Linked DNA regions of Struthio camelus. The protein of the gene in region 3 interacts with the protein of the main gene of each other region in a pairwise test. Links are inferred from orthologs where the notes say so. Each region holds a gene or a part of one and is shown on either strand. Other genes may lie near its edges. The genes, in order: PDC, THRB, PSMC5 and VDR.

The links.
Region 1: the proteins of PSMC5 (region 3) and PDC interact in a two-hybrid assay, tested with the Homo sapiens proteins (2 studies listed by BioGRID). The link is inferred for Struthio camelus from reciprocal best matches to the Homo sapiens genes PSMC5 and PDC.
Region 2: the proteins of PSMC5 (region 3) and THRB interact in a two-hybrid assay, tested with the Homo sapiens proteins (3 studies listed by BioGRID). The link is inferred for Struthio camelus from reciprocal best matches to the Homo sapiens genes PSMC5 and THRB.
Region 4: the proteins of PSMC5 (region 3) and VDR interact in a two-hybrid assay, tested with the Homo sapiens proteins (2 studies listed by BioGRID). The link is inferred for Struthio camelus from reciprocal best matches to the Homo sapiens genes PSMC5 and VDR.

What each region holds. Positions count from the first base shown.
Region 1 is NC_090949.1:3,413,605-3,421,603, reverse strand, and holds the start of PDC (phosducin), read right to left. Parts: upstream 3,005-7,999; coding exon 2,944-3,004; intron 754-2,943; coding exon 593-753; intron 504-592; exon of another isoform or gene 1-503. UniProt on the Homo sapiens protein: May participate in the regulation of visual phototransduction or in the integration of photoreceptor metabolism. Inhibits the transcriptional activation activity of the cone-rod homeobox CRX.
Region 2 is NC_090943.1:44,272,540-44,279,698, reverse strand, and holds the start of THRB (thyroid hormone receptor beta), read left to right. Parts: upstream 1-4,151; 5' UTR 4,152-4,166; coding exon 4,167-4,494; intron 4,495-7,159.
Region 3 is NC_090966.1:2,766,899-2,773,968, reverse strand, and holds the start of PSMC5 (26S proteasome regulatory subunit 8), read right to left. Parts: upstream 3,001-7,070; 5' UTR 2,992-3,000; coding exon 2,794-2,991; intron 2,415-2,793; coding exon 2,343-2,414; intron 1,848-2,342; coding exon 1,778-1,847; intron 1,359-1,777; coding exon 1,261-1,358; intron 892-1,260; coding exon 835-891; intron 678-834; coding exon 447-677; intron 1-446. Other genes in the region: pre-rRNA 2'-O-ribose RNA methyltransferase FTSJ3, read left to right, coding at 3,692-3,758, 3,845-3,950, 4,666-4,712, 4,928-5,007, 5,253-5,352, 5,525-5,719, 5,815-5,930, 6,750-6,854 and 1 more.
Region 4 is NC_090969.1:3,457,984-3,465,900, forward strand, and holds the start of VDR (vitamin D3 receptor), read right to left. Parts: upstream 3,016-7,917; 5' UTR 2,913-3,015; intron 1,859-2,912; 5' UTR 1,769-1,858; intron 1-1,768.

The DNA.
Region 1 (7,999 bases), on a different chromosome or scaffold from region 3:
CAGGATTTAATTCCCCCCCCCACACCCCACCCCCACTATCACTGTTTTCGCAATTACTCAGTTACCGTGGCAGTGAGTACCCTTTCAGAGCTCTATCCTGACTAGCAAGTTTTTAAGCCTATAAAAAAAACTTTCAACTGTCTTAACCAAGGATAGAGCATTGGGGAGAAAAGGCCAAACTCTCAGTATTGTGTGATATATTTCTATGACATACACTGCTTATTTTACAGAAGTTGGACTCTACCTGAGAGAGGCCTAGATAGTACTGTGTCTTTTAGGTCAGATGTCGCTATTCTTGTGGCAAGCAATTCTTTGTTCTTTGAGTATCGTCCTAGTCTTCAATGACAGCACTTATGCAGCCACATGCTACTTAGTGGGAGTAATATAATCTGCACCCAAGAGGTTGTTTTGTTATATTTATGATACAAATCCGAAGTAAGGCTACTGTCAATAGTGCTGATTTATTTTATCCATATTATGAGAGTTCTGCTCAGTTGCAAAGGAACCGAGCCTGGTAAATTCAGGATTTTCTAGGTTATATAACTGTTTCATATAGAATCAAAATAAATGTGTTTTGCTTTTCTCCTCTTACCTTACGGCAGAATCTCTCTCTGGTATCTTTATCGTCTTTACTGAAAGATCTGTGTGGTGAAGACATTTGTCTAAGAATTTCTTTCTTGCTCAAGGATAAGGAGTCTCCATCTTCACTTTCTAATTTGAACTTTCTCCAGTCATTGATCACACCTTTGGGCCCTAAGAGAGACAAGTTAGATGAGAAACTGGCTGCAACAAGAAGCAGTCTTAAGAAGTTTCTGCCCTTCACTTGTCCTTTTGTGCCACAACTTATCCATCCCCATTTGCTCTCGGGGCATGCTCCAGGAGTGCTGAAAACCAAAGCATAAACTCTTTTTTTCTTTCTTTTGGAGGCTTGTTTCTGACCTCAGTCACTTTGGTACTCTGGTTCATATCATGATAGTATAAAAGAATTTTGGTGAACGGCACAAGGGGTTAACAAGGATGAGGGCCTGGAAACTTGTTAAAACAGGCCTCATGGCCGCAACCAGTGTTTCTCACAAATATATTTGTGGCTCCCTACGGACCATGGCTTTCAATACGTACCACACATAAGAACTTCACATTCATAGTAAAATTAAGAATACAGGACGTGAAGATTTGGGGTTTTTTGTTTATTTTTAACCCATATCTGTTCCACTGAAGGACTAATCTGTAAGGCATTGCTTATTGATGATTCTGACTATAATGCCAATCTCACTCTTCAGAGCTGGTTAGCTAAGCAGTTTTTACGGTTCAAAATGGCAATGGTATTCTTCAGAATCAAATATTTTGATCTATACCTTTGATAAAGCAAAAACATGGAGAACTTTGTTTTCAGAGGTGAAGTTTCATTTTAAGGAAAATTCAGAAAAGGCTAGGTAAGAAGATCTTTGCTTTACAGAATCACAAAATGGCAGAGGTTGGAAGGCACCTCTGGAGGTTTTCTAGTCCAACCCTCCTGCTCAAGCAGGGCCACCTGGAGCACACTGCGCAGGATCATGTCTAGGTGGGCTTTGAATATCTCCGGAGAACGAGACTCCACAACCTCTCTGGGCAACCTGTTCCAGTTACTGTTCACAGGAAAGAAGTTTTTCCTCATATTCAGATGGAACTTCCTGTGCTTCAGTTTGTGCCCGTTGCCTCTTGTCCTGTCACTGGGCGCCGCAGAGAAGAGTCTGGCCTCATCCTCTTGACACCCTCCTTTCAGATACCTATACACATTGATCAGATTCCCCCTCAGTCTTCTCTCCTCCAGGCTGAACAGGCCCAGCTCTCTCAGCCTTTCCTCAGAGGAGAGATGCTTCAGTCCCCTCATCATCTTTGTAGCCCTCTGCTGGACTTGCTCCAGGAGCTCCATGTCTCTCTTGCACTGGGGAGCCCAGGACTGAACAAGGAGAGAAAAACTGAAATGAGAGAAGTGTTGTGTCTTCATGAGGTAGTGTTGCCAGTTGCTAAGAGTCTATTGTGCATTAAATTTCAACGTGTTATAGTGATGGCTAAAGGCGAGGTACCTGACACCACACCCCTAGGGGGAAATGTTAGGTGAACGGAACCCTTGCAAGCAAGAGTCCAAGACAGGAATTAGCATGAAACCTTGGCGTGGTGATAACAGTTAAGTGCTCAGTAGCCTAGTTTTCAGGACTGTTCAGAAACCTAAGTGTGCACGTAGTGCCTTGCATTTGGGTCCCTAGAAAAATATCTTAACTGACAGTAGCAGGACTGGTCTGGGAAAGAACCCCAAGAACGGCTATTACAGGAGCTGAATTTGTTATGATGCAAGGAAAAGGAGCCTTCAGAGCCCAGAGAGGCAATGGATGGTGGTCTCAACACGTGTACTACTTACCCCTTGGCAGGATAGGATGAGGTAGTCTGTAGAACAAAGTACAATGATACTCATAAATCATGGTGATTGAGTCTCGACTGAAAAGAATTGTGACTCTGAGCAAGGGTGCTTTTAAAGATTTTTAGATTCTGTGCAGCATTTGTCAGAAGGCTATGTAGCTGCGTTTTGAACATTCCTTCTGTAAGAAGGAAAAAAATAATTCAGCCTTTATAGTGTGTTAGTGGGTTCCACTAGAAGGAACAAAGTTGTTTGTGTCTGAAGCAAAAAGCCAACAAGATTTGCACTGGGCAATTGCTGTTGGTGCTCTCTTCAGGTGTCTTCTGCATTTGCCATTTGCTTCAGGCGCAAGGAAGGTTGCTACAAAGATCATTTTGGTGTTACCTGCCCTTACATGAGGCATGTCAATTAGTCAGAAATATGTTCTCATTGGCTTTGGAGCGTACTTCTCTGTGCAAGGAGCTTGGCATCTCAGTGAATGTACTTGACTTCTGCAGTTTAGCTTATATTTAGGATGGGGGAGGGCAGAAAGTAATCGATTTCCTTGCCTGTGTGTGTAGCCTGTCCTTCAAAATCTTCTTCCAAACTGGCGTTTCTGTTTTCTTCCATTTTGGCGACTGGAGTGGGAGATGCTGCAAGTCCAAAAAGGAAAACAGTAGCAGAATGAAAAGGTACAAGCTTACAGCTAGGTACAGTGCAGTGTGTAATTTCCTGCAGCTGTTAGGTATCAGCGCTGGTAAAAAATCTAAATTGTAATTGTAGAGCTACTCATTGCCTCGTAAAAAACTATTAGGATCAGTCTGTTATTAAAGGTGTCTGGCCAAATTCTCACTGAAAGTGTCTGGCTGAGGATATCTTCATTTTATTGTTTGTTCTCAGTCATGGAGAATATTGACAGCTTATTTTGGGATAGTGCTAGTAAAACTTTCTGCAATGGTAATGTGCAGTGATTATTTTCACTCTCCCTGCCTCCCCTCCCTCCTCCCCCCCCTCCAAAAATCAGGAACTGATGACTTTTCCAAGTCCTGTAAGTGTGTTTATTTTTATGGATTGCCTGAATTGCTCATTTCTTGTACAGAGGATGAAGCCAAGTATTTGTACCTGTGAGATCAGAGGCCTCTAAACATCTTGGAGCTACACAGCTTTTACTGAACAAAGTTACAAAACAGAAGAAATTACAGGGAGTATAAATCTCATTCCTGTTCCACCAGTTGTATCCCCAAGAGCCAGACAGTAGTCACAGAGCACTGGGGTACAGCAGTGCTCTAGCAATCCCCCTTTTCTGTCTTCCAGTAGAGCTTCTGAGGAGCAAAGCAGGACCATTCCCCTTAAAGGGAAGAAGAAAGGTTTCTCCTCTGTAAGAAGAGTTCTCCAGATAAGCGGAGCTGGGCAGTGCCAGAGCATTGAGCTCTCAAACTCAGCTGGTCTAGCTGATGTTCTGCTGTTTCCTGAAAGTCACTGTAAATGTTTTGAGGGTTCTGCAGCTTTTATGAGCAGATCAATTATCTGTTTCAGAAAGATATACTGGGGGTGGGGAGGGAGTACTAGTTCTTCAAATGTATTTTTGCTCTACTGCTGACAGACAGGTTCATATCTCTCTGCGTGTGAGCTCTGCCACAACATATTCCTGAATCTCTTCTCATGTTACACCTTAGTCAGAAGTTTCCTTTTTAGTCAAAAATTGTCATTCCAATGTGATAAAGTGCCACTCTTCAAAGTGTCTGCCTTAAGACTCCTGTGGAGAGAGTGCTCCCATTTAGTTTTAGCAGTTCAGCTGTTAAAGTAGGCTTTGCAATAGATCCTATCTTGAAGCAATTATTAACATGTTATGTAATGAATGCCAGATCTAAAACCTGATAGTAAGTTAGACTTCAGTGACATTTATTTTGTAGAATGTATGTACAAGAGAAAGTGGCACGTTCACCTGCTGGACTGCTACTTACACGTCAGGATCAAGGGGGAAAGTGGAATAATGGCTGAGCAAGATGCAAGTAACCCAATTCTTGTGTATATTGGAAAAGCTAATTAGTAAATGTGAGAATTCTGCAGAAAGATTTGTGGTAAGTAATCGACTTGTAGGCAGTATTTTGAATTAGTTTGGAAGAAAAGCAGATAATGAAAAATAGAACTACTACTAATAAAATCTATCTGTTGAGCTGCACTTCTATCCAGTTCAGTGTGAGATCCTGCTGTATTCAGTCAATTCTGAAATAGATTAAGCTAATCCCGTCTCACATATGCAAAACTGAATCTGTGATGTTAGTGATGGACTGCTATGCAGACCTGCTGGGTCAAAGCCCTGTGAGTCATTCTCATGACTTATATTAATATATATCTATAAAATATTCTACAGACAGTTGATGCTGAGAATTTTCTTTGTTCTGCGAGGGCAAAAAAAAAAAAAAGAGGGTTTAATTCTCTGTATGTATGCTTTGCTCTTCTATAGCTTTTAGCCCTGAAATGCAGTAAAAGGAAACAGGATATGAAAAGGAGCAATTAAGCAGCCTGTTGCAGGCTTGAGCCGGAGAACGCTGACCACATTTTAGGTGGAAAGTTAGAGGTGGAAACTGATTGCGTAACAAATGAAAGCTCTCTCTAAAATACACGTTACTGGTCTCATGTACCTAATGAATCTCAAAAGATTAGCTGAATCATAATAACACAGCAAATTGCGTTCCCCCACTATTCTAAAGTGTGGCGTGAGGCAATAATCCTTACAATAGAGAGACTGGTAAGCTGACCGTAGAGCTGGGAGTGGGGAACTCCTAAAATCTAATCCGGACCCTTCTACTGACTCAGGCTGTGCAAGTCACGCAAATCTTACTCCTTTCAATAGAGGTATAAATATTTACAGTTCTTAACTTGGCACTGTAAGAATCAGGCTGTCCGAGCCAGCCAGGTGTTTCCCAGTTAGGCAGCTGAGGACAAGGGCTTATGAACATGTAACTGCAAGGTGAGCCGTGGGAAGCTCAGTTGCAGCATGAGCTGGCTGTTCTAGAGTGTGTGTCTTTCCTTTGAAGAAAGCACAGCAGAAAAGGTGTAAGTAGAAAAGGTGTAGTGTGAGTACAAGCACAAGGGCAGTCATGAGGGTAAGAATATCTCATACATCTGAAGTAAGCGAGGGATTGAGGTGTGTGGGTGGTTTATTTTTTAACAAGATGCTGGGCATATAGCAGTTTCCCAAGAAAAAGCTAGGTTCCTAAGATGTGGGGAGATGTGGGTGCTGCCAGCTTTGGAGCATGCTGTGGAAGTGCCTCCACATGGATACGTGCCTAACCATTAACTTGTACAAAGTTTTAAAAGTACACATAGTACTAAGGCACTAAAGCAAATCAGGTAAAGCAGCTATTTGTAACAACCCATTGCAAGGTTATCAATCATTCCTGTTGGTGCATTGAAATTGGGAGTACCCAAGGGTCAGCACAGCTAAAGCCATCTTCTATGCAAGACAGCTGCTCGCTTAAGAGCGAGCTGCACTCTGCAACCACATGGGCAGACCGCATGGCGTCCCTGTTTGCACTCCCAGCTGCAAGTGGATCCTAACTGACTGGCTGCGCTGTCCTTCAGAAATGCGTTGTTTGAGGTCATCTGTAGTAGAACCCCCTTAAACCTGAGTCAACCCAGTGGCCTGGTGGATTGCTGAGGTTAAGAGGTGGCAGGAGTTAGCTGCATGTATGTGTCACCTGAGGAGATGGTGCAGGTGAGGAATATATTGTTTGGGAAGGCCCATTCCTTCTCTTGTTGCTATTTGGTGCTCCTGTGCACAGTGGCACAGCTTCTATTACACTTTCTCGAGCTTGCTTCACAACAGTGCCATTCTCCAGGCTTTCCAATGATGATGTAGTGATCTCTTTTGATCAGAACCTGCACGTGCATTTCCCAGCGTAGTTTCCTTGTGGGAAATAAGGGATATGATCACTCTCACTTTAGATTCCTATCTCTAGTAAGCCAACAGAATTATCTAGCTTCTCTGCTTTCACGTTTCCCATTTTTGGGTCACAGTGACCCCAGACTCTCTTAGGAATCCAGGAGTTGCCATGTTACAGCCCACTGAATTTGGTATCCTGTGTTTGATGGAGACTGCTGTGAAAGGCATCAAAGCAAAGTATGAGGAAAGCTTTATCTGTTTCTGTTACATAGAGATTGGCTTGCATGCTGGAGAATATGCATTCATGGCCATTGCAACCAACTCTTATAAAGTCCTTACTGATTTACATCCGAATTTTTTTCATGTAAATATGCAGTCTTGGCATTCTGCTAGGTCCTTGCTTTGTGTGAGAGTACAAGGTGAGAGACGGACAGTACAGCCTGGAATGGTACGCAAGTAAAACAGCAGCCTAGGATGATGTGCAGTGGTAGCAAGACTATAGTCAATGTCATTATTTTTCATGAACATCAAAGCTATTGGTTGTCAAGTAATTCTAAGCAGTTACCAATAGACCTTTTCGGACACCAGCTTCTTTGCTACTTATCTACATTTTTCCTTTGCAACTTTTTAACAGCAGATGACATGCCAGACAAACAAAAATGTTTGTGAAAAGAAATTGCTCATTTAGGAGATATCATTAATTTTTATCACTGTTTTTGTCAACTGAAAACTGTTCCCTGCCCTCTTTTTATCTGAAAAGTATTAATGAAGGGAAAACCATTTCCTGACCAGTTCTGTTCATTGGTTTATTTAGAGCATGATTTGTAATGCGTATGGTGACTTCAAGTCTATATTTTGAGACGGATAATTCTATGTTACTTATTTCTTCTTATTATTACCTATTTATTATTGGGCTTCATAACTTCCTGTGTCCTTAAATCCCCTTCTATAAGACAAAACCCCTCCGAACCCTAAGCGTTAGCTTGAAGATACCATTTAGCGTCTATGAACTTTGGATCTGTTGTATTCCAGAACAGCCATTCATATGACTGATGCACGTCCTTCTGTTGTGATTAGACCAGATAGGCCAATTTCACTACAGTGTAGAAAAGACCGTTTAATAAAATGTTTGCTTATCCTTCCTACTTACTAAAAAATATTTTGTGCCTTTGGCCTCGTAGAATAGTTTTGTTTCCCAAAGTTGCGAATGTTTTTACTATTTTCTCTTTTGCATAGTGAATTTTTGAGGTAGTTCAGGAAGAAAGCACTGTACTTCTTTACTTCTAATGATGACTTATTCAGCTTTAATGCTCTTAATGTTGTTGTAAATACAAAAATAGTGTCTTCTAGTTATAATTACGGAAGGGAGGGAAACAAAAAAAATTTTAAAGGAAAGTACGTTTTTGTAAAGGACAAAACAAATAAAAATTGTTGCTAGCACAACAATAAGTAAACATGAGAAATATTTTCTGGAAGTGTAAACAAACTCTAGATGCGAGTTTGCTGCTCTCCATATGTGCAAATCCCACTGGAAATGCTGTTCTGTGCCTGGGTTTACATAAGGCTATAAACCAGCAACATGCTGCTAATCCCCAGGAATCAGTGCGAAATAGCCTATAAAGTATGAAATTTAGGCAACTTTTGGCAATGGAAGAATGAAAAGTAAACAGCGTCTCACGAGGATCTTCGTCAGCGAGACATGATTGCACGTTTCTGTTTCAAGCTACATGTGGGCT
Region 2 (7,159 bases), on a different chromosome or scaffold from region 3:
TGAAAGCAGTGAAAGACTCCAGTATTCAAGTCAGAATACAAGACTGAAACAACAATTGTATGCACTATTTTCTAGTCCACTTTTGGACTTTAGGTGAAGACCCCATCTGACTGTCTTTTACCAGATGATTTAATGCAAAGTGATACAGGAAGAGGACCCTCAGAGGTTCAACTGAAAATACTCCAGGAATATTTCAGTTTTAATAATGATACTAAATCTTTGCAGTGTTTTTGGAACTGATTTGTTTCCAAGGGAGCAACAATCTGCAGTGCTATAAACCTCTTGGATGTTCCAGGTGAGGAAACCTCATTGCCTGGCAGTGTTTATCATTCATTTTTTGCCGGAAAAGACTCTCATCCACTTTACTTTCTCATTCTCCTCAGTTTCTTGTAATGTAATTTCCTGATACCATTGCAGTAATTCGGAGAAAAGTAGTACATACGACACGTTTCTAAGTGTTATTGACATAGCATTAGAAAACAAACAATGTTTGAGGAGTTGATCTTAGAACCGAAAAGAATTCACATGCAGTCCCGTATCATGATACCATCTCCGCCAGGCACCATGCTGCCTGCGACTGCTCTGTCTACGTACATCCTCAATTCTTTTTAGTTTTTGGATAACGAAACTAAGTCAAGTAAGTGGGAAGAAGAACCAGAGGAGAGAAAATTCTTAGGAAATTTGCCTCATCTGGCAAAACAAATCCACAAGGTGAAAAGGACCTGGTGAAAATTTCCAGCTTGGTTCCCAAAAGCTTTTTTGGGTGGTGTCAACCACCCGGCAGTCGAAGGGCGGTCGGGCACTTTCTGAGGCGGCTCCGTGCTGCGCAGGGAAGGGCTGTGGCCGATAGAGGTGGCCTTTTGCGAGGTTCGGGTCCGTTCTCATTATAAGCTCTCGCTCGGAAAGCAGCCTATTCTGCCGGTCCCCAGCGAGCCTCGGGCTCCACGCGGGCAGGGCAGCCCCCCGCGGACACCAGGACAACGCGGCTGCCGCCGAGCTGCGCGGCAGCCTGGCTCTCCGTGGCTCCGCTTATTTCTCTTCCTCTTCCCTGGCGCGGGGCTCCATTAGTCTGGAGGATGTTCTTCGTCAAATGGGCGATGTCATGTCTTTGTCACCGAGTTACCGAGTCAGTCCTCTCAAAAATTGACCCCAGGGTACAGCTACCGTGGTGCATTTGGAGTCCTCCCATTCCTCGCAGTTGCCTCTCCAGCACTGGTGTCACCCTGGAGACTGACGTAGACCAAACTAGCAATTTTGCCTCGAGGTCATCTATTCCTTTTTATTCTTCAATAAAAAGGGGTCCTAAACAAAATAAAAACTGCAATGTGCTAGGCAATTGTGACCTGCTAAGTGAAAGACAAATTTCTGGGACTAGATCACCCTCTGGTAAGAGTACCTGGCTGTTCTGCTGGGCTAACCTGTGAAATACAGCCTCGCCTGTATGCAAGCTCGCACATAAATTCCTGTTAGCTGCGGTGGAGATCGTTCTGCGGTAAACGGAAAGTCCACTTACCCTACCTGTAGAATGTTTTCTTTCTGGGGAGTATGGAGAATTAAGCTCGGCAGGTTACGATTGTGTCGACATTACATTTGTATGTACTAGCATTACCAACCAGTCACATAAACAGGTAGGTTTTGGGGGGTTCTGTGTAAACGAGCATTGCAAAGTTTCTTAGGAAATCTATGTCAGTTCAGATCTTATTCTCACAGCAGGAAACTGTGATAAAAGCGTGACATTAATTTAAAATATTTGTGAACTCATTACAAATCTTAAACAGAGAATGCACTTCTCTCTTTCTAAAAGCATTTCTGGCAGATCTTAGTTAATACTTTCTGACATTTGTTTTCAGTTTGTTATGATGTTTTTTAATAGAAGATTTTTTTTCTCCTGGAAAGTAAAAGAAAATAGGCTTTTTTGTCTCTGAATATATGAGTAAGTGTAGCTGATGATAAAAAATGCAGTGCACAAGCAAATCACCATACTTATAAAGGTTCTCAGTAACTGAGCACTTACTTACCTTGAGACAGGGGCATGATTTTTATGAAGCGCTGCAGCCATTCTTGAAAAATCAGATCTTGCCTAAGACATGCTTTTTTATCTCAGACAAAATCACTGTTTGGAAAATCTAGATCATAGACTTGAACTGAAATGAAAATTAATTTTCGATGTGTGCGTTATCACAATATATTTCACAATGCTATTTTGTTGAGTTAGGTCTTCGGTAAAAACAACACTGAGAATGAAGGTTCATTTGTGTTTCACTTCTGGGATTTCAGTAAATACTTACTGCTCTTAATGAAGTAAGTTGTTACTTTAAATTGCAAGAGTGTTACCGCAATAACTTCATTCTGGAAGTAACTTCATTGAGTTTAGTAAAATTGGTCTCGATGGAGATCATTTTGACTTACCAAATGCATTATTATTTGGTGAGGCAAGGTAGTAAGAGTTGGTTTTAAAGATGCTTCTTTTACAGTTAGGAAACCAAAATAAAAATAATCCAAGAGTAAAATTTAACTTCCAGTCCTCAGAAGCAGTTACCCTGTGATCTCTTAGCCTATATGTTAGATGCTAATTGCCAGTGCTCATTATTTAAAAAGGTTAGTTATGGTTGTGCGTTAGAAAAAGAGAGAACACTAATTTACGGGCTCTTTATATTAGTCTGAAGCATTTGATAATACCAGCTCGGGAGAAATATGTGCATGTTAAATGCTGAGTCTTATGAGTTTCACAGAATTTTGAGGACCATTGGAGTTTACGTTCAGCTAGGTTGCTAGAGGTATACTTAAAAGCCAAGAAGAAAAGGGGCCAACATACAGGTAGTTTTGGCAGTCTGTCATCTCGAGTGTTGTTTAAAATGAGTGAAAGAACAAAATTAAGACCTCATTATTAAATCAGTAATTCTGCTTCCTAATAATAAGAACAGACATTAAAGAGAGATACCATTTTGTTACTGATTTCACAGGAGTTTTACCCTATTTATGCTGTGCTGCAAAGAAAACATATTTTAGCTAGTAAAAGCAAGGCAGCTATTATAATATTAAAAAATCCTTTTAAATAAAAAAGAATGGGCGATCAAATATGATATATTAACCACACTGATGTTTGGAGTGTGTAAAGCAGTTATAAGATCATATAGTATTTTATTTTAATGGCATTGAAATGTACATAGCTCATACGAGAGCCAAACTGAGCAAGAAAACCTCCTGGCTGTGCTCAGGTTGTTGATGCAAAGGATACTTTTTTTAAAAGTTCTTTGTTACTGAAACATAAAAGATCATGAAACAAAATAGCAAAACAATTAGTTTGCTGGTAATATTTAAGCAGTGTCCTTTTTGCTGATTAAATCAAGTCATTTTGAAGTTTCCCACCTGTTGAACTAAATAGAAATTATCTCCCCAAATCACTGAACTTTAAAAAAGCTGCTTTCCGGTAAATGCATTAAGAGGCAGTAGGGAGGATTGTATATGTGTGGAAGGCTGGGGAGATTCATGCATGTAATTCTGTAAAACAAAATCAATAAAGCTGATGACAGATTAAGTTGCTAAATTTTGTAAAACTAGACTACTGTTTGGGTCATCAACACAGTGCTATTGGATTTTCTGTGGTTTAATGCTGAAAAACAGGATTATTGATTTTAGGATTTTCAGCGTATCCCCTCTGGGAGTTCTTAAGCAGTCTTCATAATGCTTCACACTTAAGTTGACAACTACAGTGACATAACTGTGTCCTCGCCTTAATAATCATTTTCTAATCATATTGCAAAAGGCTAGAAACGGTTTATAAAACGATTATTGCGGACAAACAGTGGAACAGGAGGGTTGTCGGGACGCCGCTCCTTTGTCTGGTGGCCATTGCTGCCTGCCTGCCATCTTCCCTTGGAATTAACTTACAGTCACAGATTAAGACCTTTGACTGTCATAAATCTGCTTCCCAATATGTTTGACTGGCAGGGGAGTTCACAAGCCATGCCAATATAAATAGGATTTTAGCACATCAGGTGCTGCTCCAAAGTGAAACGGGCTGTTTTGCAGTCGACTTTGTTGGTGTTGTATATTCATTGCTCCTTTCCCGTTCCATGTGTATGCATGCCTGTGTGTGTGTGCGTGTGTGTGCGAGTGTGTGTGTGTGTGCGCCCGTAAAGTAGGAGCCGAGATAGGGTAACAAAATGAACTACTGTATGCAAGAAATCTATGAAGTGCACCCAGCTGCTGGGAGCAATTGCTACATGCAGTCCACTGATTATTGCACATATATCGAGGATAATCAGGGTTACAGCAGTTGTGATGCTCAGGTCCTGCACGGTAACAACATATATATGGAACAGGCCTGGGCGGTGAATCAGCCTTATACCTGTAGTTACCCTGGAAACGTGTTTAAAAGCGAGTACTCTGACATGGACATGGCCCTGAATCAGTACAACCAACCTGAATATTTCACCGAAGAAAAACCTACTTTTTCTCAAGTGCAGTCGCCATCGTACTCTCAGAAGAAAGGTAGGGGCAATTTATTTAAATACCAAAAAAAATCTGTGTTTTTGTTTTTGTTTTGCTTTAAACTTACAGTTGCATCACTTGGCTCAGATACATCTTTGAATGTGAAGGCTGCCTGTTCAAAATTGAAAGCAGCAGTAACATAGGTTGCTAGGTGATTGTAAGCTTTTCTGTGAACGATGAGGATTTCCAAGCACTTTTTCTTAATTTGTAAAGGACGTTTGCAAATATATTGCTTGTTTTCTGCTTTTTGTGGCTATTAAGTCCATTTACTGAACATCAGTGAGCTAGATAAGAAAGTTTCTCTTCTGAAATGTCGTCAGTAAATATTCTTCAGCTTAAATCTGTTTTCTGCTTCCACACAAACAGTCTGTGTGAGTCCTCATTATCACTAAATGTGAATTCTCTTTACTGAATAACTCAGTTTCAGGCAAAATATGTTGAAAATAGAACTGCAAGTATGTATGGGAAAATGATTACATTTAATAGAGTTGCTGTCTTGTAAATGAAAACCGTGTCGTTTCTGATTATGCAAAGCCAAAAAGATAGGACAGTCGAGAATATAGCTCTGCAGTAAAGACTCTTCTCCATCCAAAAAGTTGATCTAATCAGTATGTTTGTGAGAGATAATCAGAGAGTGGTATCTGTTCCCTTAGGATTAGATCACTGCTTGTTTTCAGAATTTCTTCTTTTGCTTTCAAGTAAGCAAAGCAGGTATCACTTCTCAAAAAAATACTAACCACCACTGGAAAATGTTCTCAGTGTTACTTGTTCTGAAGCCAGACAATCAAACTGGCACATGTAGAGTATGTGTTCTCCATAAAAGTGTATTCCCTTAAAGTCACTTGAATAAAGAACAAAAATACACAGTCTGTTGTACCAATATAATATCCTTTTTCTCTTAAGACCAAATTTCCTGTATGCAGTTACTCAGAAACAAAATGAATCTGATTTAACTAGCTAGACAGAGAACGACACCATTTACTTTTTTTAAAGTGCCTTTGTAGTCAAAAGTAGCCTGTTTAATCATATTAACAACATAGAAAACTGAAATATTTTCCCTTGTGAAGGAAACGCTCATTAGCACCTGGTGCAATAAAACTGTATGTTCAGTAGAAAGTATCTTAATCTTGTACTTTGAGCAGTATTCATAATAAAGGGACTATCAGAAAAATAATCCTGCTCTAGGAAGCTGTAGAGAACATGATCAAATTGTAGACTAAATGTAGTTGTGCATAATGTGCTTTTTTTGTATTTTGTAGCATTCTAAAGTCTTCTTTAGGCTAATTTTATACTATTGGATTTTAATCAATAAATTTATAACTCTTCATAGACTTTTCCCATGTGTCATTTTGGTCAAAAACTGCTACACAGGATTAACTTCAAGAAGATGGAGACTTGCTATTGCGAAGTCAGTGAAGGAATATATATTTCATAATGCGAAAGGATTTTAAATGATAATTGCTGTACTTAGGTCAGAGCTTTAAATGAGTTATTCCAGTATTCAGACATCTGATACATTTAATGCTCTGTTTACAGTTTTTCTACTTGCTTGTTGAAAGAATACAGAGTTATTTTTAAAAATTGTTTGCCTGCTCATGTTTTTCATCTACCTCAGTTTCACTTAAAATTTGCAGAGAATTTTCTTGGGAGCAGTCACTCGAGCACACTTTTAACTGATCATCCACAGAGACTGAGCAAAGTTCCTTCGGCTTCTTTACAGCCGTCATTACTGTGATAATCCATAAAGAGTTGCGTCCCTTCTGTCAAACCTTTGCAAATGCTGACTTTGTTAAGCAGAATAAATCTAAACAGTGTGGGACATGTGCATCTTCTCTTTCTTTTTTTTTCTTTTTAATTTCCATCTTTTACCCAAGCTATCATAAAACTAACGAATCTTTTAATCCCGTCCCAAGAACAGAAGGCTCTATACAGGGCATGTGTGCCTGTATTGATCCAGAATTGATTTGGGGGGGGGGGAAGAGGGAGTTTGTTAGAGAAGCCTTGGTAATAGCCCATTAAAGCAAAATTAAGTCCCTGAGCAGGTGTCCATGAGGAGTCTTGATTGTTGCAGTTGGTATTTCTATTAGTCCCCTGAAACTTGTGATAATCTCAATACCATTCATGCTGTTCAAATCAGATTGTACTTTACCGTAACACAGGGAGGTTCTTCATGTCAAAACTTCTGCTAGTTTTAAAGGGATCAAAATCTTCTTTAGTTTCCCCTCCAGGAAGATAAAAACATTGTTTTATATGCTGAGAAAAGCTAATGTTTACGAAGGGGAGTTTAATTACTTCTGTATCTATATGTCACTTTGAGAGAATTAAGGAAATAATGAGAATGAAAGACTCAGACAACGTGAGTGTTGCTAAAGGGAAAAAAATCAGTACTTAGAAAGTATAGCCAGATGTTCCAAAACTACAAGAAAACACTTAAGCTACTCCAGATATCACTGTACATTTAAAACTATTATTTCCTGATTTTCAGTTACAAATTTTGATGAAAGATTTGAATATTAAGGGAAAAAACTATGCTCCAGAAAAGCAGGCATGGAAGTGTGGTTTTAGTTTGGCATCTTGTTGTTCTGTATGTTCTGTGCTGTACTATACATTATTAACAGGTAGGAGCACAACATTCCTACAAGAGCTTACTATTTTATTAAAGAAA
Region 3 (7,070 bases):
GCCACCAGGCCCTTTGCATTTGGGCAGAGCTCCCTGCCACCATGCATGCAAGCTGGGGGAAAGCTCCAGTCCAGGGGCCTCTGAAGGTGATCCTGGGACAGGAAAGCCCCCTCTCCTCTGCCCCCAAGGTAGAGCCACAGACAGGGAGAGCAAATATCCTCACCAGGGCAGCAGCACTTACTGTCCCACATCCCTTCTCTCCTTCACAAAGTGGAACGCAGCACCCGAGAAGCTACGAGACCCCAGAGCTACCTCTCCTTCCCACTAGCCCAAACAACCTCAACAAAAAGGAGCAGGTGATGCACAGCAACCCTGGGCAGCGAGGGGCAGGATCGCAGCATTGCAGTGCCACTGCAGCAGCAGCCACAGCAGCACCCCAGGGTGCTCATCCCCTTGTGGTCACCAGCAGCCCCTAATCACACCAGGCCCAGGTGGACAGCACTTGCCTTAGGCTGGGCAATCCCCAGGGCCTCAAAGAGCTCTGGGTGTTTGACTGGCAGCTCGATTACTTCCTTGATCTCCTTTATCTGCTTGTCCAAACCTCCGATCATCTCGTAAGTGGAATCCGGGACCTTTTCCACCATCATCAGGGACACAAGAGGGTCCACTTTGTTGGGCAGGATCTTGTGCAGTGTGTAGCTGTCATTGCGCAGGGCCACGCGGCAGTTTGGGGTCACCTACGCCAAGATCAGAGGGGAACTTAGCACCTGGCCCTGATACAGCCCTTCTGAGCCACCCCAGGCTGAGGAATGCAGCAGGCAGCACGAGGCCACCCCAAGGGGAGCAATCTCCTTCCCCTCCCACCCACGGCCCCCAGGACATCCCCACACTCACATCATTAATGTCAATGTTCTTGTCGACATCCACCACAAACTTCCCTTCCGGGTGCACCTGAAACATGGCAGTTGCCACCATGAGTTATTTCTCTACCTGAAACGTCCCCAGTCGTGTGTCCAGTACCCATACTGGCTTCTCAGAGGGGGAAGGAGGAGCCAGGCAGCTCAGCCACCAACACAAACCTTGCAGCTCCACCTGCCCCCAGTAACCCCTGAGCCAGGTGCTTCCCACCTGCTTGGGGAAGGTTGGGGCTCACGAGAGGTGCTACAAGGTGCTCCTCTAGATACAGCTCTCGCTTCACATTTCTTCCTTGTCACATCCCTCCCAGAACTTGTGCTATCACATCTGCCCTCCAACCCTCTCCTTGTGCAAGGATGAGGAAAGACTCTGTCCTTCTCCAACCCGCTCACCCCAGCTCTGTACCTTGACGAGCACTTTCTTCTTGTCCATGGCTCTCACCACCTCCCCCACGTAGGAGCCCTGCTCCTGCAGCAACTGCAGCTCCTCTCGCAGCAGGCGCACTGTGAAGAGGGAGGGAGACATCAGCAGCGCCGTTCTGCCCAGCTACAGGCATCAGCTCCCAGTGCAGTGAGAGGACACCCGGCCCCCAATGGAGGTGGCACACACACCCCACGCAGCCCTTCGGGGACATCTTGGGGATCAGTGCAGAGTCCTGCTCAGGAAAGGGACTCAGCTGGAACCAAGGGTACCCACCTTCCCTTAACTACAACAGCAAAGAAAAAAAAAACCCTCAAAAACAAAACATCTAGAGGATTTATGAAACTCAGAGCACATGTTCCTGCCTGGCAGGAGCTGGATCTTCCCAACAACAGCACTAGCCATGCTGGCCCATAGCTGGGTCCCAAGTCATCAGCCCAGCAACTAGGAGTGGCCACATCACTGCAGGAGATCAGGATGAGAAAAATGAAAAGAGCTGTACCTTTGGCATTCAACTCGTTTCTTTGAGCTTGCAAACGCCGCAGGTTCTGGCTCTTCTCATTGACGATGAGCTAGGTAAAAAGAAAGCTTAGCTAAGACTTCAGAATCCCATACAACATTCAAACTAACTGCACACCAAGTGCGTGCAACAGGCACTAGCTGAGCTGCAGCAGAACAGGCAGGAGCAGCTTTCATCCTGGGACAAGCACCTAGGACAGCACAGCCTTTCCAAACAGGACGTGACCAGCCAGGTTCCATTACCAAGGATTAGGCAATATCTCATACACACAAAGCAGCGATGACACTGGGTAGGACAGAAACACATCGTGGATGCCCGCATCGCCCAAAGGCTGGACTGATGGCCCTGCCTGTAGACACCGTCCTCACAAGTGCCTCCTCCTTGCACCCCAGGACAGGGCACCGGCAGCAAAAAAAGGCCTACAAAGCACTGCAGATGTTCTTAGCCTGAGGGTAGGCCTGGAGACAGAGATAGGCACCCTTGGCTGGAACCACAGAGACACCTGCCCAGAGCAGGCCGGGTGGCTGCACAGCTGGGGATGGCTCACCTGCAGCTCCTCGATCTTGGACAGGTAGTACTGTCGGAGTCCCGTGCCACCCTTCCCATCATCCATCTCCATCTGTGAGAGAACGGGACTCAGTGAGACGGGGTCCGGCCCCGCAGGCCTCCCGTTTCCCCCAGGGCCCCGCAATCCACCTCTACCTCCGGGTCAGCCCCCAGCAGCCCTCGGAGTCCGGGCTCCCCCGCGCACCTCCCCGGACCTGTCCCCAACGCCAGCCCCCAGAGTCCCCGTTCGCCCAGGGATCCGTGGATCCCTCGCTTCCCCTCATGCCCTTCGCTGCCCCAGGCCCCGGTCTGCCTCCGCGCCAAGGCTGAGACGAGTTCCGCCGAGTCACAGCGACCGCCAGGCCCCCGCCCGTTCTCAGCATGGCAAAGCAGCGTGGCCCGGGCACCCCCGGCCGCCAACAGCCCCCGACTCGGCCCGGCTCCAGCCTCACCTGCTCGGGCCCGTCCACCGCCATCTTCTCCGCCGGCATCGGGACACCGGCACCACCGCTGCCTGCACTAAAGATGGCTGCGGCGTCCCTTCCGCTGGCCCCCCCCCGCGCGAGGAGCGTGCTGGCGTCACTTCCTCCCTCCCCCAACAACACAGTAACAAACAGATTGCTCCAATCCCGAAGGATGTGAGAGCGCATGCGCACTCGAGTGCTGGCGGCGTGGAGAATGCGCGTGCGCAGAAATGGCCCCGCAAGCACGCTGCTTTTGTCGCCATCTTGGTAAGGTCAAACGTTATTCCTCTGTGTCACGAAACACTAGAGGGTGGTGAGTAGGCTGAAAACGCGCCTCCTAGAAGGTCTGTTCTCCCTCCCCCTTTCCCTGCGTGCGGCGTCCTGTCTTGCCGCTCGCAGCGGGGACTTGGTGCTGAGACAACATTCCCAAGATGGTGGCGAAGGGCGACCGGAAGCGGAAGTCACTCGCTAGTGGCAGCCCGAGGCGGTGGGGCGCGCACGCGGGAGCGCGGCGGTGTGGGGACTGGGCGGCGGAAGGGGGCACCGGAGCAGGCCGGGGGGGCACCAGGACGGGGAGGAGACCCCGAGGCCGCGGTAGGTCGGCGGGGCCGGGGAGCCGGGCGGGCAGCGGGGCCGGAGAAGGCGCTGAGGGGCTCCAGGGCCGGGGTAGGCCCTTGGGAGGGGAGGGGGGCACCGGGTTGGCGGACATCGGGCCGGGGTAGGTGTGGGCACCCCAGGGCCAGCGGGCGCCAGGGGCCGTGGGGGGACACCGGGTCGGTCCTCCTGGCCCTGCCGCCCCGAGCTCAGCCCGTTAGCCTCCCCGCAGGTCCGTGCGCAGAGGTGACCGTAGCTCCCAGCCCCACCGGGGTCCCGGCCTGACGCCACCATGGGCAAGAAGAGCAAAGTAGGCAAGAGTCGGCGGGACAAGTTCTACCACCTGGCCAAGGAGACGGGTAAGTGGAGCCTGCGCGCTGTCGGGAGGAGAGGAGCAAACCCATAACTCCCAGTAATCTGTAACCCCTCACTCTTCTTTCTGCAGGCTTTCGCTCCCGCTCCTCCTTCAAACTTCTCCAGCTCAATAGGAAGTTCCAATTCTTGCAAAAGGCCCGGGCACTGCTGGACCTATGTGCAGCCCCTGGTGGGTGGTGAGTGTCGCCAGGCCCGGAGCCATGGCCCAACATCTCCAGCTGCCCCACACCAGGCCTGGCTACCCCATGGGCCTCCCTCCTGGAGGTGCATGGGTGAGCCAGACTAGCCAGAGCCCAGAGGAACACGCTCGTTTGGCTCCGGTTTGAAAGCTGGTCTGCACAAGCTGCAGCTGGAGTTATACGTGCTCCACCTGCCCCAGATACCTTGTTGCTTTGGGGGAATTGATGAGAAACATGATTACTTCTTGTTGAAGCCGCTGAAATGCCCCCTACTGCCACGGGCTCTGAGCCATAAGCCAACAGGCATCTACTTGCAGGAGGCTCAGTGTCTGGGCTGTGTTTAAGTAGTGCAGACTGAAGTACTCTTTAGTGATCATTTTATTTGTGTGTGCTGTTAGTTGAGTAGCCCTAAGCCTTTGTGGCTCCCCCGCATGGCAAGATGGGGGCTATCCAAGTTATTCTATCTGGATAGCTAACCTATTCCTGACTCAAGGGTGCCTGTGAAAAAGGCTTTCACAAAGAAGGTAGGAGTCTGGTGATTTGGATAGCTGGGACCTTGTAGCGAACTGGCTTTTATACTTCCTGCCTAGGCAGTTCGTCTTGTTCCCTGTCGCAGATCCCAAGGCAGATCCCAAGCCTTAGGCAGCATGATTCAAGGTTGGTGGTTCTCATGGGATCCTGCCGTAGCTTTTACCCTCTCTGCTCTCTGCAGGTTACAGGTGGCTTCCAAATTCATGCCTGTTTCCAGCTTGATCATTGGTGAGTTGTGGGACCCTGCACTGAGCTGGAGCAGGGGTGGTCAAGGATGTCGTAGGGGAGACTTGGGGCAGGGACCACCTCCGCAGTCCCTGGATCTGACTTGAGGGATGGGGTGCTTTGGGGGCCCTGGTACACGGAAGGGGTGAGCTGGGAAGCCAGGCTGGAACCCAGGTTGGGGGGAAAATTTCGACGTTGACATCTCTTCCTTATACCAGGGGTGGACTTGGTCCCTATCAAACCCATTCCCAACGTGGTGACGCTGCAGGAGGACATCACCACTGAGAAGTGTCGCCAGGTAAAAACCACCCTGCTAAGTGTCATCTCTTGATCTGGGACTCAGCAGGTCTGTCTGGGCTGGAGGTCACCCTAGCTGCTTAGTCAGGGCTCATTTTGGGGGTAGGACTGGGGCAGGCAGCTGAACGGACTGTCTGGGTTGGCAGGCAGGTGGAAACGTGGGCTTTTGGGGACTGGAGATGCTACCTGCTGGCTTGTGCAGAATGACAGGGATTAGCAGGACTAACATGCACTTCTGACCCTCAGGCCCTGCGCAAGGAGCTGCAGACATGGAAGGTGGACGTGGTGCTGAATGATGGAGCACCCAACGTGGGGGCCAGCTGGGTGCACGACGCTTACTCCCAAGGTAGGGCCCTCGCGGGGCTGCTGTGTGGCCTAGGGCAGTTGCCAGGGGTTGCAAGGGCGGGTGCGTCTCATGCCCCAGCAGGGCACAGTGGATGGTGGCACATGTTGCGGAGCAAGGAGCTAGGTGATGGGGAGTTGACAACTCTGTTGACTGCTGCTTTCTCCCTCTTCAGCCAACCTGACTCTTATGGCCCTGAAACTCGCCTGCGAATTTCTCTGCAAAGGCGGCTGGTTCATCACCAAGGTTTTTCGCTCCCGGGACTACCAGCCTCTCCTCTGGATCTTCCAGCAGTTCTTCCGCAAGGTCCAAGCCACCAAGCCCCAAGCCTCCCGCAATGAGTCCGCTGAGATCTTCGTGGTGTGCCAGGGTGAGCAGCTGAGGATACTTGCAGCTGTTGGCAGCTTGGTGCACTGGGATAGGGCAGGGAGAAACCTGCTGAACTCTCCAATTCCCACATCACAGGTTATCAGGCTCCAGATAAAATTGACAGCAAGTTCTTTGACCCGAAATATGCCTTCAAGGAGGTGGAGGTTCAGACCAAGTCCGTGAGTGAGCTGCTGAGCAAGAAGAAACCAAAGGTATGAGGATGGTGCGTTCCTGGGGTAGACTAAGTGTCCCTCAGCAAAGAACGGACTCAAGGGAACAGCCATAGCCTGAGGGAGGGTCTGGCTCTGTGGAGCCCTTTTCCCTACTCTACTTGTCTTGAGGAACCACCTGCCTTTCTGGGTTCAGCTCCCTCACGGGACAGATTGGCAGGGAAAACTCCTGGGGGGACAGCAGTTAGACAAAGTCTGTGAGGAGAAGGAGGAGATGGCTTCTGGGAGCTCATGAGCAGCTGAAAAGCTGCAGGAGAGAAGAGGGTGTTGGGCATCTGGCCGACTTGCTTTGCTGCGCAGCAGAGCCAAACATTAAATATTAAAAATGTTTAATCAGGAGAGCTGTCTAGGAAAACGAGAGATCCCAGGATACCAGGGGTTGGAAGGGATGATGGAGAGGTTCACTGCTGTTGAAGGTGGGGGAGCTGTGAACAAGCCATGAGCCTGGGTGGGAATAGATCAGTATTACATATTCCGTGCAGTAGTTGGCTATGGGGCTTATGTCTCCGTGAGATGTCTTTGGGGCACAGGACACCAGTGGTTGTGTCAGGCAACTTCAACTGGGAGTGGAGCTTCACAAGCCTCTCTCACCAACTCCTTTCTGCACCTGAGGTTAGGTCGAGGCTGGAGGAGACATCCTAGAGCTGGGCCTGTTACTCAGCAGGTGGTAAGGGCTCATAACCTGTCCTTGTCCCTGTGTCACTTGGGCACGTTTAGGTGGATGCTGCAGGTAGATGCAAATTATTTGACTTTTGGGGATGGTTGAAGCTGCCTGGCTCATAAGGCTCCCTTCTTCTGTAGGCAGAAGGTTATGCAGATGGTGACACGACTCTGTACCGTCGCTTCACCCTGATGGACTTCCTCAAGGCTCCCAACCCCGTGGACTTTCTCTCCAAGGCCAATGAGGTGAGTGTCTGAGGCCAGAGAAACCTTGGTGGCCACAGAGCCTGGTCGTCAGGAGCACGGAGCAGCGAAAGAAGGCAGCTGGCTGCCCCAGCAGTAGCTCCCAGCCCTGCTAGTGCAGAGGAAAGGGAGGCAGGGCAGGGGCTGTGGCTTGGGAGTGGCAGCCCTTTTTCTCTGCTGCGTCCAGATCACGCTAGGGGATGGTGAGCTGGAGAATCA
Region 4 (7,917 bases), on a different chromosome or scaffold from region 3:
ACAGCTGCCTGCACCAGGCTCTCGTGCCACAGCCCTGCAGCTGGTAGACATGCTGCCAGAGAAGCATCCAGACTCAGGCTCCCTTGTATTGCACAACTAGAAGAAAAACATGTGTTGAAGCTCAGCTGACCAATTCCACCCTTCACCATCATGATCAGACATTGCACAGAAGAAATAGACCCATTTACAACCTCTTTTAAGTCTGATTATTTCTCTTCCACTGACTTGACACTTCAGCAATTCCCCTTTGAAAGCCACAGGAAGTTTGGGCCAGATTGACTTCACTTTGGCCCAGCAATAGCAGGTTAAAAATTATTCCTGAGTGCACCTCTAACCAGAGGGAAGATTAGCCACTTTTCCAAAGTCAGCTATTAAATGAAAACAAAAAAGTTAGATTACCCAGCTATTTTGTCTTAAGTACACTGGGATTAAAGCAAAAAACAGTTAGTGAAAAAGCTAACTGACCCAAGGCAAATTCTTGGCCAATGAAAAAATCTATTATTGTTTCATGCCTTTGTTATTTGAAATCCTGCTGCAAGATCTCACACCTGATCTGTTTACAGACAAGCATGATCTCAGGCAGACATCTGACTATGCCTCCTGCACCCAATGGTCCTTCCTTCATTTTCAGGGTACTGGATCCCCTGGAGGGACAGTCATCTGCCCAATACACAGCTGACAGTACAGCTTGCAAAATTACCAAACCTCAGCCTACCACAGCCTGGCTTATTTGACCAAGATGCTCACCTGGGACATCATCACCAGGTACAGATTGCACTGCCACATCAGGTGCTCGCACTGCAGAGAGCACTTTGATTACAAGTGAGGACCCAGACTTTGCTGTCCCGCTCTGGGCTGCAAGGAGCAGCAGACTGAGACACATGCAAAATCCTATTGAATTGAGGACAGTCACTTGATAAGGGACAAGCAGAGAAGCAAGACACTGGCATGCCACAACACCAAACAGGTTTCCAGCATGGTTTTAAAAAGAAGCACTTGTTCTGCTTGTTGCCCTGATAAAGCTCCTAATACATCCAGAGAAACCTAGCTCCCATTTAAGTACTCTTAAACCAGATACATCCAGAAATCACAGCACAGCCAACAGCTACAAACCCAGACCGATTTAAACTCAGTAACCAGCTGCACTGGAGAAGTAAGAAAAAGTTTTATATTAGTGAGTAGTTATAACCTAACCTCCTTCCCCACTGGAGCAGGCAAGTTAAATATTCTTTATCCTCCCTACCCATGCAGGGGCACCCACAACACTAACCCAGCCAGGCCAGCTCACCCTCGCTCCCCGGTAGACAGAGGAAGCACTGACAGGGTCTGCAGACCAAGACCAGAGCTGAATGCTGAGCAGATGTCTCCCTTTGGGAGGAGACACACATTGCCCCAAAATCATTGGTGCTCCTTTAACCAAGTCCTCAGAGGAAGATGAGTCACTGCCCAGCTCGTGTGGGAGGAGAGCACACCATGAAATGCTGCAAACCCAGGGCTGACTTCTCATGAAAACCAGTTTCTGAAGAAACTTTTAATGCTGAAGACTCCAGCCCCAGCCTTTATCAGCCGGTTCAGAGCTTGAACAAGGGGAAAAGAGGAAGACACAGCTCACTATAGGGAACCGTCACCTCTACCTGTCCTAAGCCAGCCACTCAATACCCCCCAGGTCCCTCTGGGGGCTCATTCTTGACCCAGGGGTGTCCTGCTCAGTCTAGGGAAAGACACCCCTTCTTCCTCTGTGTAGGAGAAGTGGAAAGATCCCCAGTACCTTCGCTTTCTCTTTGCGCTGGGAAGATGAGGGATTTTAGCAGTCACATCCGACACAATGTAGATGGCTCAGCAACAGCCAAAAAAGCCCCTGGGGAAGCAGGTAGAGAGAACAAACGAGCACAGTTACTGCCACAGCTGGATTTCAGCCTGGCATTGGACATCTCCCTCCACACCTCCAACACATAACTGGGAGTGTGGCTTTAAGATACGCTTTAAAGCTGATCATTAATTAGCAACTTACCTGAGTCAGAGACCAGCCTGTTGATAAGGGACAGGCTGGAAACCCTAAAGCACAGCTTAAGCACCCCCAATCCCAATGCCTCCATGGGCCTGTGCCCCCTGCAACAGCACCCAGATAAGTCACAGGCATCACAGATTCAGAGACCTCAGGGGCTGGACAGGGGAGAGCAGGCAAGGGTCACATCCCACCACAGGGACCCCAGACTGACTGGCAACAGCTCACAAGGGGCTTGGGGAAAGGGTCACACAGTCACCCCCCCAATTCTCCCCCCCCAAAGAGGGGGGACAGACCTGAGACAGGGCAGCACTAGGGGACCTCCCCAGCCCCAGAGCCACCCTCCAACACACAGCAGGGGCAGGAGCATGGAGGGGACCCCTCCCACAGCTAGGGGAACCCCATTTTCAGAGAGGAAAGTCCTTGAGACCCTCTTTGAAGGGGGAGCTGAGGGGAGACACTGCAGCCCCCCCCACATAGTGCCTCTGAATTGCAGCAGGGGGCACAGAGGCCCCCCCATACATTTACAGGGCCATCAACCTCAGGGAGGCAGGGAGTATAGGAGGGACAAATAAAAACAAGACCTGCAACCCAGGGGGGCATAAAGGGTCCAAAGGGCCCCCCCAAAACACTCACCTGCCCCCCAGGATGTGGAGGGCCACAGGGAGCAACCCCACACTCCTCCTCCCTCCATAGGGGGCAATTGGGTCCCCCCCCCCCACATCCTCGGGCAGGGGGCTTCCCATAGACATGCCCCCCTCCCCAGCCCCACGAGCACCAGAGGCCCCCTCAACCCACACCCCGGCGGGCACCGGGGTCCCCCACCTTCCCCAGGGGCCAGTCCGCGACAGGCAGCGGGAACAGTTTTCCCCCCCAGCCCCGGCGCCCCCAGCCCGGGCCCCGGTACCTGCGCTCCCGGGCGGCACCACCACCCCCTCCTTCCCCCACCGCCCCGGAGCCGCCTTTTGACGGGAACCGGCTGGCTCCGCGCCCCGCCCCCTCGCAGGGGCCCCGCCCACGGACCCGCCCCCTCCCGCCGTCTCGCCAATGCCAGTGCGGCGCCGCCCTGGCCACGCCCCCGAAGGAGCCGGCTTGCTTAAGCCCCTCCCACCGATGCCTTATAGGGCCCGGGCCGTGCCGAGCCCCGCCCTCTAGGGGCGGGGCGCGGGCTGGCGGGAGATCGCACGTGGGTGCGTGTCCTGCGGGAGGGTCCCAGGCCGGGCGGGACCCCCCAGCCCAGCGCGGTCCCTGCTACGAGCCCAGCGGCCCTGCGCTCCGCCAGCAGCTTCTGGGGTACTCGGCGGGGCTTTTGGGGTACAGCTTTTTGGCACGCCCCACAGCCGCCCCCTCACCCCTCCTTCCTAGAAGCTGCACGTCAAGGAGTGACCCACCCCAGGGCCACCACCGGAGACCTTCTTCACCCCCCCCCCCACCCAAGACAGGGCCTAATGAAGTAGAGCAGTGATTAATAAAAACGAACAGCACCTCTAGCACCTTCCAGAGAGCCAGGCTTCCTGGCCTGTGGATGGTCCCTCACAGGGACAGGGACAAATACTGCTGGTGTCCTCCCCAGCAGGCTCTGGCAAACTGTTTCCCTGTAACATGGGGTCCTGCGGGGTCTTGAGCATGTTTGGGTGTCTGTGCCGTATTTCTCATTTGCTGTGGTGCCTCCTGTGAGTCCAGGTGTTACACAGCTCTGTCCCTGGAGCTGGCAGCGGTTCAGAGGCTGCTTTCCTTATGAATTTCTAAGTAACAAGCCACTATGCACCAGGAGCACTCACCGAATTTGTCACGTAGCAAACTAACCCCATCTTGCTTACGCCACTGCAGTATGTGCAGGGCTCCTCTTCCTCTCCTGTTTTCAGAAGGACATCCAAGAGCCCTGCCACCATGCACTGCAAATCCTTTATCTGAGAACAGCTTTGAGAGCGCTCATGTATTTTTCTGATGCTTAGATCAGATTAATGGGAGAAGGAGAGCTGATTCATCTTCTGCCTCCAGACTAGAGACTGCTAGTTAGTCTCTGCTTACATCCTAGGCACAGCTCCAAGAGCTAGAAAAGCATATGGTCAAGGGTGGGCAGGTTCCTGGCAGAGACATGACTCTCTGCAGCCTGCAGCCCTGAGCGTGGCTAGCCCCGTGGCACCCCTGGTGTGCCCCTGAGGCAGTGGCTTCACGGGAGCCTGCTGCAAAGGCCTCGCTGCTGGCTCAGTGCACAGACGACCCTGGACACACCGAGGGGATGGGAAGGGGCCTGGGGGACAGGGTCCCACAGGACGCCTGGTTTTGGCTGTCACTGCAGGACACTGGGATCTGGCATTTGCTCTCTAGGCGCTGCTGCAGCACGGGACAGTGACAGAGGCTCCCTGCCATCCCTCCAGCCGGCCCGAGTCCCAGCTGACACGGACTACCACCCGCGAGCAGCTGGCTGAACGGAGCGGGGTTTGCTGCCGTCCCTCCTCCCAGCCAGGTCACGAGCATGGACCTCGGACAGCCAAAATCACATTACTGGCGACGTGAGTCAAACCAGAGCGTGGTGGTTTGGGTCGAGCAGGTTCGGCTGGTGTTGCAGCCCCAACCCAAAGCCGCTCGATTGCCTGGACACATCACACCCCAGGTCTGAAAACACTCAGGCTGTTTGACGGTTCCTCACTTCCCGTCCTTAGAAACGTGTCGCTGAGTGCAGACAGGAATCAGCAACGCTTTACAAAGGAGGGAGAAAGTAAGCTTCAAGTAAGCCCCTACTGTGATGTTCCCAAAGTTTATTACATGTCCTCTTAACTCAAAAACCTGGGAAAAAACGAGCCCCTGATGCACAGTGGGGGAACGAACCTCTCAGGGAGAGAGACAGCGAGGGCGGCCGAGCCAGCGTCACAGCAGACAGCAATCACCGCTCCTGAACCATAATCAGCAAGTTCAACTGCTTTAATTTGCCTGGGGAAAACGTTTTGCTAAACGCTTTTAAATTGATTTAATGAGGCCAATCAGAGAAAAAAAAAAATATCTAGGAGGAAATGGGAGTTCGTTAAAGACAGTTCGGCAGAACTTTGCGAGAGGAGAGGGGAGAGGCTGCGGGCAGGCAGGACTTTGTGCTGGAGTGGCTGAGGAGTGCTGCATGTGCCCCGTCCCGTCACCTTGCCATGGGCGCACTGGCTTGCACGGGAGAGGTGGGGCCAAGCGCTTTAAACCACCGCAGCCATTTGCAAGGTTAAATTGTGTCTTAAGCCTTAATGCAGCAGATTACCCATGGACCTCAACTTGTCTGTAGCAGTGCAACGCGCTCCTCAACCCAATAAAAGAGCTCAGCTGCCAAACCCTGCTGTTCTTGTGTACGTGGACCAGTTGGTGCCTGAAGCTATGAGGAAGGTTTCAAACTGATGAGAGTTTTAATTTGCACCCTCGGTTGTGACCTGTGCTGGCTTACAGCTATTATCTGGCTCTTCCCTCGAACTCAGGCTGCTCTGCCACTGCCTCTGCTGTGCTCACACATGGAAATACAGGGCTGGATCTTATGCAGGTCGTTGGCCAGCAGCTCTCACCGGCCATGTGCCTTCTTGCCTCGATCCGCTTGCCCATCGTGTCCCGTTGCTCTGGGGCTCCAGGATAGTCATGCTTAAGAGTACCACCACTTTCCCTCCACATACATGGGGAAAAGCAAGCCCTGCTGCGGGGAGAACCGTGCGGAGAGCCGTGCAACCGAGCTGCAAAATCCCTCCCACGCTGGTCCAAAAGGATGCGCAGAGACGTACGCGAGGTCTAAAATCTTGCATTGGTACAATGCGAGCAAAGCAAACAGCAAATGCTCATAGCATGGGCCAGCAGTATTAATGCTACTAAATGCTCAGAGAACAGGCCCCTCCATGCCCAGGTGCTTTGCAAGCCGGCATAGAGCGGTTTTACCAACCAACGGGTTTGTGCGCCTGGGTTTGCTTGCTTGTTTACCCCGATTTCTTGCAGGCTGACAACATTAAAGAGTTTCAGCTCTCATCTTGCTCAGTCTTTACTGGGAAACGCCAGGGTTAATGGAGAGAAATGATGGCTCAGCAGCTGGTGCATGGCTTCATGAAAGGGAGGAATCGAAGCCCTCCTCTGCCACAAGCTTCCTGTTTGGCCTCAGACAAGTCATTTAACCTCGCTGTGATTCAGTTTGCCCTTCCAGGACTTAGCTGTAAAAGTCCCTAAAGTTGAAGCTGTTTGCATTAAAAGGCATGCTGCCGGGCTAGAGAAAGGTGGTGGCAGGGTTATTCCCACCTTTACGTGATGGCACGCTGCCCCTCTGCTCCAGCAGTGCTGCTGCGTCGGGGCGGGGGGGGTTGTGCTGGGACCTGCATCAGCTCCCTTCAAAACAGTAAATTAAACCAGGGGCATCGCAGCCTGGGACAGGAGCAACAAGGTGTTCAGAGGGGGAAAGAGATGAGGGGAGAGGGGGAAAATCCTCCTCAGCTGCTCCTCCTGCTGCGTGGTCCAGCCCCGGCCAGGGGGACGGCGCAGGGGAAAACATTCCTTTCCTCGCGAAACAAATCGGGAAAAAGCGACGCCTCCGAAAACACAACTAATGGGAACCACTTTGCAGCTGGGAGCTAATGGGAGTAATAGGGCTGGTTATGTGGGTGGGAGAGTGCTCCCGGGAGACGCTCGGCTCGGCAGCGACTGCACGGTCGCCACCGCTCCCTTTGCCGAAACCCGGAGCGCGGGACTGTCTGGGACAGCTGGGTCCCTGAGCACCTCCCCGGGAGCAACTCCCCCCCCCCACCCAATCCCTGCTTCTCGCAGCAGCATAAGTGCAGGATCCTCTGGCTTTCTCTTGGGGTGACTCAAACGCTCGATTCATCCTCCATGCAGCGAAGGCTTCTCAGGAAGTCATTGCAAAATCCTGCCAGCGTGACGATGGCTCCAGCGGCTGGGTCGGCTGGGGGATCAAGGAGGAGGGTTTGGCACCCTCTGGGGATTCTCCGGTGTCTACTGTGGGGTTGAGCTCACCCCGGGGCTTGGTGCCGGCTCTCCTCTGCCTGTGCAGGTCCATCCATATAGGCGGTTTTGGGTGGCAGCCTGATCCTGCATCTGCCCCTTCTACCTCCTGCCCTGTAGGGTCCTGAGGGCCAGCACCCTGCACCTTCGCTCCAGCCTGCAGAGAGCTGGTCCCTGGCTATCCCCCAGCTCAGTTCGGGAGTGATCGGAGATGCACAGCCATCCATCATTGACAGTTACGGGCAGGCAATTAGCATCTCGCGAACGGCAAGCCAGGAAAACTCCATCATGCTGGCATTTTGCTCCTGGGAAGGAGAGAATAAATGATCCATAAAGTTTCCACCAGCGGCAGAAGTTGGCAGCAAGGAGAGCAGATACAAAGCAAGTCCCCGGTGCTCAGGAGGCATCTGTCTCCTGAGCATGCAAGGTTACTGGGAATATTTTCTTGCAATAAACTTTGTTTTTATGGTTTTGGTTAAGCAGCTGTAGATTATGAGGGGAAGGAATTCAGTTTTCCACCAAGATCTCACGTTTACAGCACCAGAATAACGACAGTTTGCATGGGACGTTGTTGATTCGCAGCACCGCTGGGTTTATAAATGTCAGCTGGCCAGTTTGGGGGGCCGCTCTGCGTTAGTTGGTCCTCACATTACCCGGGGGCAAAGCGCAGGCTGGGGAGATCCACATCCAGGCTCATCCTGTAGCCCAGCCTGATCCCACATGCCTAAAGTCACAAGCCCCTAAACCCAGGACTCAAACTGACCATTTTGTCTCCTTTTTCAGAGCTATCGGACTGAGGGCAACGGGAGGGAAGGAGTTTTGACTCCTTTTCCCTGCAAACTGGAGCTTCAGAAATTTCCCAGGTGCTCCGTAGCATCATGGTGCGTCTCTGGGCATCCCCAGGACATGGTGCTGCTCGTCCTTGGGGGACCGCTTTGGTCAAG